Linked DNA regions of Mytilus edulis. The protein of the gene in region 2 purifies or fractionates together with the protein of the main gene of each other region. This does not show direct contact. Links are inferred from orthologs where the notes say so. Each region holds a gene or a part of one and is shown on either strand. Other genes may lie near its edges. The genes, in order: protein Abitram-like and tRNA pseudouridine synthase Pus10-like.

What was found.
Region 1: the proteins of tRNA pseudouridine synthase Pus10-like (region 2) and protein Abitram-like purify together in Homo sapiens (affinity purification with mass spectrometry; 3 studies listed by BioGRID and IntAct, counting the BioPlex papers as one, with this or other methods). This does not show direct contact. The link is inferred for Mytilus edulis from reciprocal best matches to the Homo sapiens genes PUS10 and ABITRAM.

The regions. Positions count from the first base shown.
Region 1 is NC_092345.1:85,786,055-85,792,617, reverse strand, and holds the start of protein Abitram-like, read left to right. Parts: upstream 1-1,996; 5' UTR 1,997-2,104; coding exon 2,105-2,216; intron 2,217-6,563. Other genes in the region: 2-amino-3-carboxymuconate-6-semialdehyde decarboxylase-like, read right to left, coding at 418-559, 1,820-1,876. UniProt on the Homo sapiens protein: Actin-binding protein that regulates actin polymerization, filopodia dynamics and increases the branching of proximal dendrites of developing neurons.
Region 2 is NC_092346.1:6,421,244-6,427,806, reverse strand, and holds the start of tRNA pseudouridine synthase Pus10-like, read left to right. Parts: upstream 1-3,254; 5' UTR 3,255-3,296; coding exon 3,297-3,317; intron 3,318-6,360; coding exon 6,361-6,492; intron 6,493-6,563. UniProt on the Homo sapiens protein: Protein with different functions depending on its subcellular location: involved in miRNA processing in the nucleus and acts as a tRNA pseudouridylate synthase in the cytoplasm.

The DNA.
Region 1 (6,563 bases), on a different chromosome or scaffold from region 2:
TTTTAGTTGCCTCTGAAATCATGGAAATGATGAAAAATGATTTTTATTTGTTCTGTTAATATAACTTCTGTTATCATGGTTATTGTTAACAAAAGTGTATGTATCAAGTCTAGACTATGACAAGTCAATCCACAGTTATTTTCATATTAACATGATTAAGGATTATTTGAAGTTGTTTTCCTAAAAAAGAAAGCTCCTTTATATTGATCATGTATACATATGTATTTTCATGATTTTAATCAGAATAATATAGCCATGATAGCTTTTGACCATGTTTTTAAGTATTTTAATAAATTTGCTACCTTTTGTCATAATGATCATGTTTGTTGCGGTTTTTTTTTAAATGCATGCCTCTGCACCACTTATTTCAAAGTAAAAGATTCATCATGGAAAACATGAGTAATTCATGGTACTGACCTGTATCATTCATATCTCTTATTCTGGCTTCAGCACACCAACAATTCTCCTCAACCTTTCTAAAAAATTTGCCATTCTTCATCATGTTAGCCACACCTGGACAGCTATGATCCATCTGTACCCAACCTCCATATCCATATCTCTAAAATCAAAGAAATTTTTATCATTGGTGCCCAATTTCCATAAATGTATCTCTAAAATCCAAATTATATTTATCATGTTTATCATTCGTAAACACAAATTTCATCTTGTGTCCATTTTACTGTGGATTCATTATTATTCCTTAGATACCAACTGTCATGGATTTTGTGGGTACATTGAACCAGGAATTTAAATGTTTAATGAATAACAAATTTTCTATAAGTTTGTATGCAGACTTTTTCAAAACCACGAATTGAAATCTAACATTTACAAAAAAGGCAAGTTTTCCACAATCCACAAAATTTGTTTTGTTGTCGTTTTGTTGAAATTGGTATCAACAAAAATAAACAAATCCACAGCATGTTCACTTTTAAAAGAACTTCACTAGAGCTTCTAAAACTTAGTTGTTATCATAGCTGATCACTACATATACTACATTTGTAATAGGAACATGACAATTAAGATGTCTAGTAAATTTTCTTCATTTAAAATTTTCAAAAAGGTATCTAATGTTGTCTTGAGAGATTTTTGTGGTTTTATTAGGTTTTTATAACTAATTATACACTAGTATTACATTAAACCATGAGTATTTGAATTTATTTCTTCTAACATGTAAACATAAATATAAAACATGAAATATGCATACATGTGTACCTGTTTCTATTAATTTAAAATTTTCTAGATATATAACATGTATAACATTGTTTTAAGAATTCTATTTCAAATTTATAGGTTGCATTATCATCATGATCATCGTATCTCATATAAGAATATAACATCAAGGACGTATATTAGTTATATGTTAGTTATACGTCCTTGACAACATACATGTATAAAAAGTAAAATACTAAAAATACTAAACTCTGAGGAAAATTCAAATCAGAAAGTCCCTTGTAAAATGGCAAAATTAAAATCTCAAAGACATCAGTAGAATGGATAACAACTGTCATATATTCATGACTTGGTACTGGCTTTTTCTTCAAGTAGAAAATTGTGGATTAAACCTGGTTTTATAGCTAACTCAACATCACACTAGTAAGACAGTCACATCAAATTCCATTATACATTAACATGTTATATGAGGGTATGGATGCCCTTTACCTTCAGGTTCATACATTCGTTTTTATTCTTAACTGCTGCTACATGTAGTACTAGATTACCAACACATGCATTGTTTTTCAAAATGACCTTTTTGAAGGACAATTTGGCATTCTATTTTAGATATAATTGCAAAATGATTTTACATATTAAGAAACTCAACCTTTTCTAAATCAGGCCAGCTTTTTGGTAAAATGTGTGTATGGAGATCGATCTTCATATTTAGCCAGGTCAGATGGTAAAGGTGAAGGCTACTACAATAAACTTTAACCAATCAAAGCAATCAGTTTTGGAGGCAGGGTCAAATAAGTCGTATCCTCTCCGGAAGACTTTCTTTTTCTACTGTACTTCCAACTTCCGGTTAAAGTGAAAGTAGACCACATTTCAATATTGTCAGCATCTCTACTGCCTTGCATGTTAATTAAGCCTTCTTAAAATCTCTAAGGTTATGGAAACTGACAAAGAGCATGTGATCAATGCTCAATCTGAATCTAAAACTGTAACTGGCAAAACTCACTTGAGTGTAGTCGAAAGATACTATAAACCAAAGTATATTCTAGGTAATCTACATTTCGAGTATTTATCTTAAACAGGTCAGGAATAACCACCAATTGGTGGATTATACCTCAATTGACGTATAATCCACCAATTGACATATAATGGTATAGACAAATTGACATATAATGGTATAGACCAATTGGTGTATAATTCTTTGTTTTTCAAAACAAATTATTCCACCAAAATGAAGCATTGTTTTCTTAAAGGCAGTGTCTGCGCGTACCCGCATGCGGGTACGAATAGCAAAATTGCCGTTCGTAGGCTACGCGTACTCACATCCGGTTTTATAATAAATTGCCATCGGATCGGGAATTAAACGTAAAATATATACAGAAATTATCGCAATTAGTGAATAAAATTGATCAACTACTTAGAAGTTTTGTAAACATTTATATATTATCATGATTATATGTAAGTCAACAGTTTTTCTCGGTTAATAAATATACTTGAAATGGGAAAAGAGTGATATACATGTGGGGCAGACATTCTCAAAGTTATCATGAATTGGCTGAACAATTTGTTCAAAAGTATTAGTCGATTAATTTTATACAATTGTATATATAAAAACAAACTCGGAGTCAATTGCAGCTGCAGAGAAAAGAAGAACTGGAAACACAAAAAATAAAGAGGAAATCAAGTTTTACAGAATATTTTTTTGTATTCACGGAGGCAAAAAATTCTAAACAAGTTCGACAGGAAAAATTAAGGCCTAATACATTAATCTGAAAAACAAAGGCCGATGCCAATAATCTTCTATGAAAGCTTCGTTAATAAATAACAAAATGTTTGACGAAAATGTAAACCTTCAGCGCATCAAAAAATAGTTTGCCTCTGAGGCGTGGAAGCAACTTAAAATTCGGATATTATATATTATAGGACTATAGTTTACAGGGACTGTAATCATGGTAATGTATATTTCATTTTCAATCAGTGTGTATTTAATTGCAAGGTTTATTATATATTATTAACTTATAAATACAATTCGAAAATATTATTTGTCATATACCCTTCACTCGTTCTACTCGAAATCCCCATATTATCGATAATTTCTGTATATATTTCACGTTTAATTCCCGATTTGATTGCATTTTATTATAAAAACCGGATGTGGGTACGCATAGCCTACGAATGTCAATTTGACTATTCGTACCCACATGCGGGTACGTGCAGACACTGCCTTTCTTAAAACCATATTATGGTATAAAAACTTGTCAAACATTCCTAGTTTAGTATAGTGACATAACATATTGCATTTAGTCAATAATTGTATTTGAAGTTTCTTCTATTGTTATCTTGTCAATTCTTGATTGGCAAATTTACCTGTAATCACCTGTCAATGGACATCATTACTGTCTGCAGTCGTGTGATCATGAGTACAACTCCACAGGTGAATGGAGCTCTTTGTTAATACTTGACTTTCATTATCAAAAGTCAATCATGGTCAATAGTACAAATGTTTCAACAAAAGAATTGCTGTACACATGCATTCTCAAGAGATGCAGCAAGCTTGGACAAAACTGAAACTTTCGGAGGACTCAATAAGCAGTCAGGGGACTTACTGAAATAAGTGATTTTTAAATCACTTATTTGAGTAGCAAATTCAAGGTTTTGTCACAAATTAGGATTTTGTAGTTTTTTCAAAATTTTAAAAACATAGGTTTAAATAACATCTTCTAATTAGTAAAATTAAAAAATATGAACTTTTTGCTTCTTTTAATAACCCTTTCAAGGCGAACAATGCATTGAGGCATCCCCGTAGCCAGGCCGAACAATGCGTTGAGTCATCCCCGTAGCCAGGCCGAACAATGCTTTCATGCATTGACAATCACGTGATGAAAATAATTTTCGTCTTTTTAACTCATTTCCCCCGTAAAGCTGCGTTTAACCCAATAGATATCCAGGTTTTCAACAAGCTTGCATGTTACAGTATAAGAATACGTATTCTTACTGGGTTTGACACCTAATATTTACCACAATACAATGAAAGATCGGTAGCGTCAACAAACAAAATAAGTCATCACCATTTTGTACAATACATGTGATGCGAACATGTGACCTTTTAGGTCAAGAAAATGTTATTTGGAAGGAAAGTCAAATATAATTTCATTATTAATTTGATTTATATAATGATTAAAATTACGAAAAATGCTTTTAAAAACTCCACGGAGAATAAAAGTCAAGTATAAATAATTGGACTTCCGTGGGCGCGGCTATTCCATTTTCCGACGAGTGCAAAAGGTCGCACTCCTTTTATGGAAAATCTAAATAAAACTATCCAATCACTTTTCTCTCCCACTTGCTCGGTGTCAAGGATGCCTAAATCATAGTAAATATAGTAAAATGTCGTCTGTAACATTTTAAAAATACAAAAATGTCCGACACTTCAGAGGACGAGCTTGAGGGGTTTTCGGCGGGTGAAATTGAACTTGCTTGCCAAAGATATCAAGTACAATTAGCCCAAAATGGCATAGGAGATGATTTCCTGATAAGTGATGTTGAAAGTGATCTGTCAGATGACAATAATGATGAACCGCAACTTGTTGACGTAAATAATGCCGGTGATGCCCCCAACAATGATGGATGGCACCAAGAATTTGATATTTTTGAAAGAGGTCTCCCCCATCTGTTCCAACCTAGAAATACTACTGGCCCACAAAATATATTAGGCCCAGAGAAGGATATAATTGACTTTTTCCAACTGTTCTTATCTGACAACCTTTTACAACAGATAATTGAAAAAACTGATAGCTATGCAAAGATGCAAAAAGATATGAATCCTGATCTAAACAAATCAGCTTGGTCTTGTCCCTCCTTGCCCGAGATGAAGGCTTTTATTGGTATAACTTTCCTAATGGGTATTGATGTAAAGCCAGATATAAAGTCTTACTGGTCTAAAGATTGTTTGGAAACCCCATATTTTGCCACAGTTTTGGCACGTGACAGGTTCATGCAGATTATGAGATATCTACATTTTACTGATCCTCACCAGCGAGTTCCACAAAGAGGGGAGCCTAAATACGACAGTACTTACAAAGTCAGATACTTTATGGACGCCCTTAACCAACAAATGAAAGATCAATATATACCAAAACGAAATGTATCGATAGATGAGTGTATGATACCATACAAGGGAAGGGTTGCATTGAAGCAATACATGCCTGCTAAACCAACAAAATGGGGAAGCAAGGTTTATGCCTTTGATGCTATCATTTACCTGAAAATTCTATTTTATTTGAAAAAATGCTATAATAATAGCTTTACATAATGAACTGATACTTTCTTCAAAGATTTTTCCCAGCAGTGGGAGTATTTTTCCTGTGAAGTTCAAGGTTTCATCTTTCAGATTATGTAATATAATTCTACTGTTCGCGATAAAAATTTCACTGTTCGGGGGTGTTAAAATTAGTGGGGGTTATTAAAAGAATGATACTTAAAGAAGTATTTTTTGGGAAGGAAATTGAAGTTTGATACTTAAACAAGTGATTTTTATGTCATTATCCTAGATTTAGTACAAGACCATCACCTGAAAAGACCTGGTCATCTTAGACAACACAGATGTTGGTTCTGATAAGTTTAGAAACATAATTAGTCCCTGGATCATTAGTATTCTATATTTAAAGTACACTAATATTAAATCACTTCTTCTAGTGATTAATTTGTACTACTTAAATAGGTGATTATTAAAGAAAGACAACTCTAACTTCCAACCTTTATGGAAATAATGTTACTTGAATCAGTGATTTAGAAAATCACTTGTTTAAGTAAGTCCCCTGACTGATAAGGGTCATTTTACAGTGAAATTTATCATCATGACCTATGGAATGATGGACACAGGCGTTAAGTCATGTTTTTCTTTCCATGATAAGGCATCCTATCCCTTTATATTATGACAAGCACATAGAATACCTACAACCTGTTGATAACCTTTATTGCAGAAACATATATAAATATTACGAAGATAATTAGCAGCTTCAATCGTCTTATCACACCTTCAGTAATAATAGTGGTGTAGTGGTTAGTGCATCAGACTACTAACACAGAGGCTCCAGGTTCGATTCCCATTTGGGATGAAAATTTCAGGAACTCAATTTTCTGCTCTCCCTTGACACCATTTGCGAGTATGGTCTTGAGGAAGCCATGATAGTCTAGGAAGGGGACGATAAATGGCTGGCCCGTGTTAAGAGAGAGCTATATCTCTTGCATGTTAGGCCAAATAAAAATATATGTGTGGTTCCAGTAACCGTACCGTCCCTACTTTTTCGGCTTAAAAATAGCCTACCCTAAAGATTTTATTGTCATTTTTCATTAAGCACTGTTAAAGTCAGAATGTTGCTCCCATAGACTCAATG
Region 2 (6,563 bases):
TGTGCTTATATTAGTTAAAGTTTATAGTTATTTGCTGATTTGACCTTAATGGTATCAATAACTTGAAAGTTATCTCCCATATTTTAAATTGCAAGACTTGTCAAGCTGCTTTGTAAATGTTTGGGAAGGAATGTTTAATATAAAAGTAAATAGTATAAAACTAAGAGTAAATCATTGTCATTCTTTTACAATTAGTACATAATGTAGAGTTAGAAATGGGATAAATAAAAATAAACTATAAAATTTGAAAAAAAAATCATTTGTGATCTGTTTTGAAAAAAAACACCAAAAAATGGGAAACAACTCTATTTTACATGATGGTATGAAATGAAGTAACCTCCCTTGAGTAGTGTTGGTGACTGATGGAATTTTATATAAAACAATGACAAATATGTCATTTTTATCAAAAGCTAAATGAACCACAGAATTGTACATAAATTTATGATATTGATAATACAAAGCAACCAAAAGAAAATACAAATACATGTAAACATGGTAAATGTACAGAGAGAACAGGAAATTTACAACTTTTATATGAAGATAAAAAAAACTAGAAAAAAAACTATTTATCAATCAGGGCTCACGCTACCAGGCGACTTGGGCGAAGTAGTCGCCTTCCCGACCGTCACTTCGCTTTCCCCAACCCCCAAAAGCGAAAACAAGTAGCCCTGTTCTTGACGATACTCGCTTTCAGTCGCTTCCGTCATCGGACATTTCAATTTTTACCAAGTTGATGAAACATCAATTTTTTATTGATAATTTAAGAAATTCAGACATAAACAGTTCATTATCTTTAGAAAAGAGGTTGAAGCATTGTCTTCGCAGTGTGGAGCAGGTTATTTGATAAAAATACAACTTTTTATCACTTCGTGCATTTCCGCAAGTTCCGGTGCTTGTTACTCGAAAACGTACATCAACCAAAATTTCGGCAGCAAAATAAGTTTGTTACTTCATTTAAACGTGATAAAAGCTGCCTCCAGTAAATGTTTAATCCATTTATTGCATTAAAAACGTCATGTTCCTTTCCAAATAACTTGTCAAACATCGTTTATTTTTGTAAATTTTCTTGCATTCGTCCGCCATTGACCGATTTCTAAACTATGGATATGAATCAGACCAGCTATGACCGAAATCTGTACTTTTACAATAATTACTACGGACGCACGGATGGAACAGCTGACAGAAGAATATTGATCCCAAAGGGAAAAATTACACATTCCACACGCATTAAGAGACTTTTGGTTACATCTAATTGATTGGTGTATATAATTTCCTATATTTTTTATGGATTGTTTCAAACTATTGATTAAAGTTGCTTACCTCTAAGACTATTACACTAATATCAATATATTATGGCCCAGCTTAATAACTTTTATATTTTTTTATCAGAAACACTGAATTTCATACACACGATAATTTTCAATTAAATTGTAATTGATATATATTATAATTTTCTTTACATTTTTTAAAATAAAAAAATATTTTTTTAGTGCTAGATATTTATTTGGTAGTTTCTCACAAGAACCTTAGTAAAAATTCAACAACTTTTAATTTCAAATGTTACTTTAATTGTAATTTTTTTACTCAGATATGAATTGAACAATATAAAAAGAACATTATTGACATATGGCCCTTTATACTATTGTAAAATCCAAACATTGTAGCGCACCACACAAATAAGCACTTCTCTTTCAAATCTCACCACTTCTCCCTATCAGTTTCAAAAAGAGAAGTCACTTCTCCCTATAATTCTGAAGTAGTGTGAGCCCTGAATTCAATGAGACACTATGTTTGGCTTGTAATTTCACCTTTCTATATATATTCAGAAAGAGCTAAATACAATGTACTGTATCATAATAAAAATCACTTCATAATGAACATGGTCTTGTTAGTTTCAAGTTGATGTGACTGTAAAATACCAAAATTTTAATCTGATAAAAGAAGGAGAGTTCAGAGATACAAACATGTGTACAGACATGGAAAAAATATTGGCACTCTTGTCTTTTACAATGTGTTAAATATGAAAAATGGCATTACAGTAAATGGACCACTTTCAAGTTTGTTTGCTTTACCATTAAAAAACATAGGTTTTAGTGAAAATCATATGTGCCTTTTAGGGCAGCATAACTTCTTCCCCATGTTGGGAGAGCAGTTGAAAAAAAATAATGCTGTATTGCCGAGTTATTTGACAAATTAAATTCTCATAATTGATAATCGGAAATTGCAATTAATTACCAATGGAACAGCTAATTGTGCATAATGAGGCTTTATAAACTTAAAAGTACAGGGATACATGCAACCTCCTCTATCTAGAATGATGTCATAAAAAGGATCTTGAGGACATTCCTTGAAAGTATTCTATTTCTACTAATGATTTAAAATGAATATACCAAAGACAGAACATCAGTCATCACTATTACATTCCTTGTCCTTTGAAATAAGCCTCTAGATTTCAAATTTTTGTCTTGAATATGCAAGAACTATGTGCCTTTGGACATACAGCGAATAACAATCAATCATTTCATTACATGTATTTACAACATTTATGATTGGGAAAAATAATAATATCTGATATCATTTTATATACTCTGACAACTGTAAGGGTAGAAATGCCCTTTAATGTCAGGCATAAAACAATCGTTTCTGGCTGCTATTTGCGCCATATTGGTTTAAAGTTTTCTGAGATTTCGTCAAAATTCCCTTTTTTTATTCGTCAAAGGTCTGAAATTATTCATTGTAAACAGCATTTTGGGGGAAGATAAGTCCCAATTTTTTTCTATTGTCTAAAAGTATCGTCATAAACCAAAATCTACCGTTATTATCATTCGGCAAAAATTTTACTGTTATTCGTCATTAATCTGTTAATGACACTTGACATCAAGTTGCCCTCATAACGACCCTCAGGCCTCACCTATAAGATCAGTTTGAAAGAATCAAAGTTTTACGATTTTTAGGTGCAATGACATTGGAATATAATAATTTTTCTTAAATGTTGCAGCAATATAAACACTAAATTTCTGCCTCAGACTCACTCACTCAGTCTGATGTCCGGCTGCAACAATTTTCATTATTTTGTACATCCAAAAACATTCAGTTTCTATTTTCATCATGGTGTATTTTCTGCAATATGTGAAGTGTATATATATGTGTCAAATTCTTTTACAAAATTACCGTATTTCTGTTTGATTTTATGGTAAATGCATATCTGGTAAGTCTCTTCTGGTAGGGTTTGGTCAGTCCAAAACAGAAGGGAGGTAATTTCAAAACTTCCGGTTACAGAATCGCTAAAGAACAAGATGGCTGCGCCCATAATTCAAGTTCGTGTAACTTTTAAATTAGCTTTTATATGTTGTTTGCGCAATTTCATTTGATAAATATCTCCAAAAGTGTTATTTCTAAGGTCAATTTATGTTTATTAACATAATTTCTTCTCCTTTCATTCTTGCAATATGTTAAACACGTTGTGTGATTATATTGGGAAGACGGTATCGGGTTATTTCGCCCCTATTATATATTCGCCCAAGATTGGCCCGTCCCAAGATCTTATTCGCCCTAGTTTTAATTGATAAAATATACTTAAGTATTTAGGTTTTAATGTATGTTGGCCTTTCAATGATCGACATTTGAACTCGCAATTAAGTTTGGTATGTTTCTCAAAAGCTGTTTTTACCAGGTTTTTTGTTTACACGAATTGTAGCTTGTGGAGACAGAATGGGCTATTCCAGAAATACCCCCCCCCCCCCCCCCCCTATGGAAGACATCAGTTGTAAAAAAAAATTCCATGGAAATATTTTTCATCATTGCCAAAATTTTCAGGAATTCCAGAATTTAAAATCATTACACTACTTAAAAATACTGGAATTTTCTTCATAATTCAGATTAGTCCAAATAATTATGACGTCTTGAAAGGCTATTATAATGACGTCGAAGTAAGGTGTCAAAGAAAAAAATTATAATAGCCTTTCAAGACGTCATAATTATTTGGACTAGATTCAGATTGCATCAAATTTTATTTAAATCTATTCACTGAAAACTCAATGTTACGTACATGTATATTATCTTATTTCCGTAAAGATACATCAGAATTGATTTGAAAATAAATCAGACAAATGAGTCACCTGTGTTTTTCTTGGAAGTGCAGTTGTCCAGTAAGTTCGCCCATGTGTAGTAGTAGTACACATGTATGGAGGACCGGTTTACTATAACTTAACCAACAAGAACATAAGGAAATGATGTTTTATTTATGGACCACTAAGATAAGAACTATAGAAGAACAAAATTTTAAAAAAATCAATTCAATATGACAAAGGAATTGGTGAAAAAGACGAATAAACCAAAAATGTAAAAAAAAATAAAAAATCTCAAGATCAGAAAATAAAGAAAAGTAAAAAAATATGATGTTAAAAAGATAAGAATGTCAACAGCATGGTTAGTATTATTCTCATAAGAGAATTATCATCATTCAGTATTCTGGCAGTTAAAGACACCATCATCCTTGTCAATGGGTTTGAAATCTGTGCAGTAAGTAGTGATTTTAATAAATAGCCCAAAATTTTATTTCATAGTCAATATATTTTATTTCTATTCAATAGAATCTAAAGTAAATCACCAAAATACAGAAAGCATTTTTCAAACTTGATCACGCATATTTCTTAAAGATACATGATCTTTATAAAGATTTTTTTAATTTTTGTTATTTTGGCTTCCATAGTTTTTAAAATTGAATTATCTGCCTTTGATGTAGATATGATGCAGTGTTCTCCCCAGGCCCTTAAAGGACCACGGGCCTGCGATGTATAATTTTCTACCGTGGTGGTATCGGTCTTGCCGCGATGTATAATTTTTCACTGTGGTGCTAAAATTATCGGTAAAAAAAATCATATAACGGTAAACCTTTCCGTGGGGTATAACATTTCAGATGAAAATTGACCAGTTCAAACCAGTTCAATCCAGTTCTGACAAGAAGATTGTTTACACCATGTGATCGATTTACCTTTTGAGGTTAACCTTGATGATTGGATTTAATCGATGTACATGATTCTTGTGTTTTAATTAATTAAGAGATCATAACTTAATGATCACAGACTTATGAGACTTTTGAGGGACAAGCAGACATTTGTTAATAAACTCTATTACTCCAGCCTTTGGTCATAAATGATTTGCGTATTTTTAAAATTTGAGTTACTTCCCCTGATTTAGCTTATTACAACAATGTGCTCCTAAAATATTATCCATCATTTGAAATAGAAATAAAGTACAAATTGAATGCAAAATTATATATATAAGGATGTTACCTCAAGGATAAAAACTTTCTTTGAATATACCAACAAAAATATATTGCAAATTATTTTTGACAATCATACTTTTATTAAAGCACAAACATTTTATATTAAATAGGTAGTATATCCTTTTATACATCTAATGACTGAGCTAGGGCAGTATGTTGATGAAAACATCCATTTCATATATATAGCTGAAGAGTATTAAATAATCAACTTTTACAAAATAAATTTACAATGATTGGAACTCAGCTAGACATGACAACCTGTCACAAGTGTCCACATAGATAATATAAGTATACTCTTCATGTCCATTATGAAGTAACACAATAATGATTTTAATAATAATTTTATTGATGTCTAAAGCTATGGAAAATAGTATTTAATTTACTAACGGTTCTACATTAAAATTTAATCTTGTTTAACGTTAATTGTTATGGTGTAATCTAACAAAAATGGGGAATGTGTAGTGTAACTATACAAGTATAAGGACAAAATTGGCTTGATCAAAGTATAAAAAGTGACTAGTTAGAGACTAAAAGTGCTTTCTGTTATTTATTCTTAAAAGATATTAAAGTATACAAACTGTTTGATTTACTTTTTTTACCAGTATTTTTTTTTACCCAAAGTCATACAGTAAACAAAACAAAAGACAAAAAGGTAATGGCACAAAAACTAACAAGAAGAAAAAATAAGCGATGCAACGCGACACAACATATTGTACAAATCATTTCGACACGAGTTACCCTGGTGCTATCCCAAAATCCTGGGGAGAACACTGTATGATGTAAACAAATGGTTTTCTTCGATGTAAAAATTATATAGTAGATGAAATTTATGCACCACTTAGGAAAGGGCATAATTATCAGATGGGCAGAGTTACAGACGTTTGTAATTACCAAACACCACTAGTTCAAGAAGAATTAAGAGTTGTTGATAAAAAACATCATCTGTGTGCAACATCAACCAAACTAGATTTGCAATCAAGAATAGTTATTTATTATTTGGATAAATAAAAAAAATCTTTGTCAAACGCCTTGATCATGTTGATTTTACATGAGATTTTCATTTCTTTCGCTAGACTAAGATAACTTCAAACGCTGACTTACTAAGGGAGATAACTGAAACATTGAGGGAAATTGGATGTTGTCCAAGATGCATACTGAGGTACATTGGGGAAAGACAAGGAGATGTTTACAGATTGACAACACAGGTAAATAAACAATGTAAAATATTGTTTACAGACAACACAGGTAAATAAACAATGTAAAGTACTGTTTACAG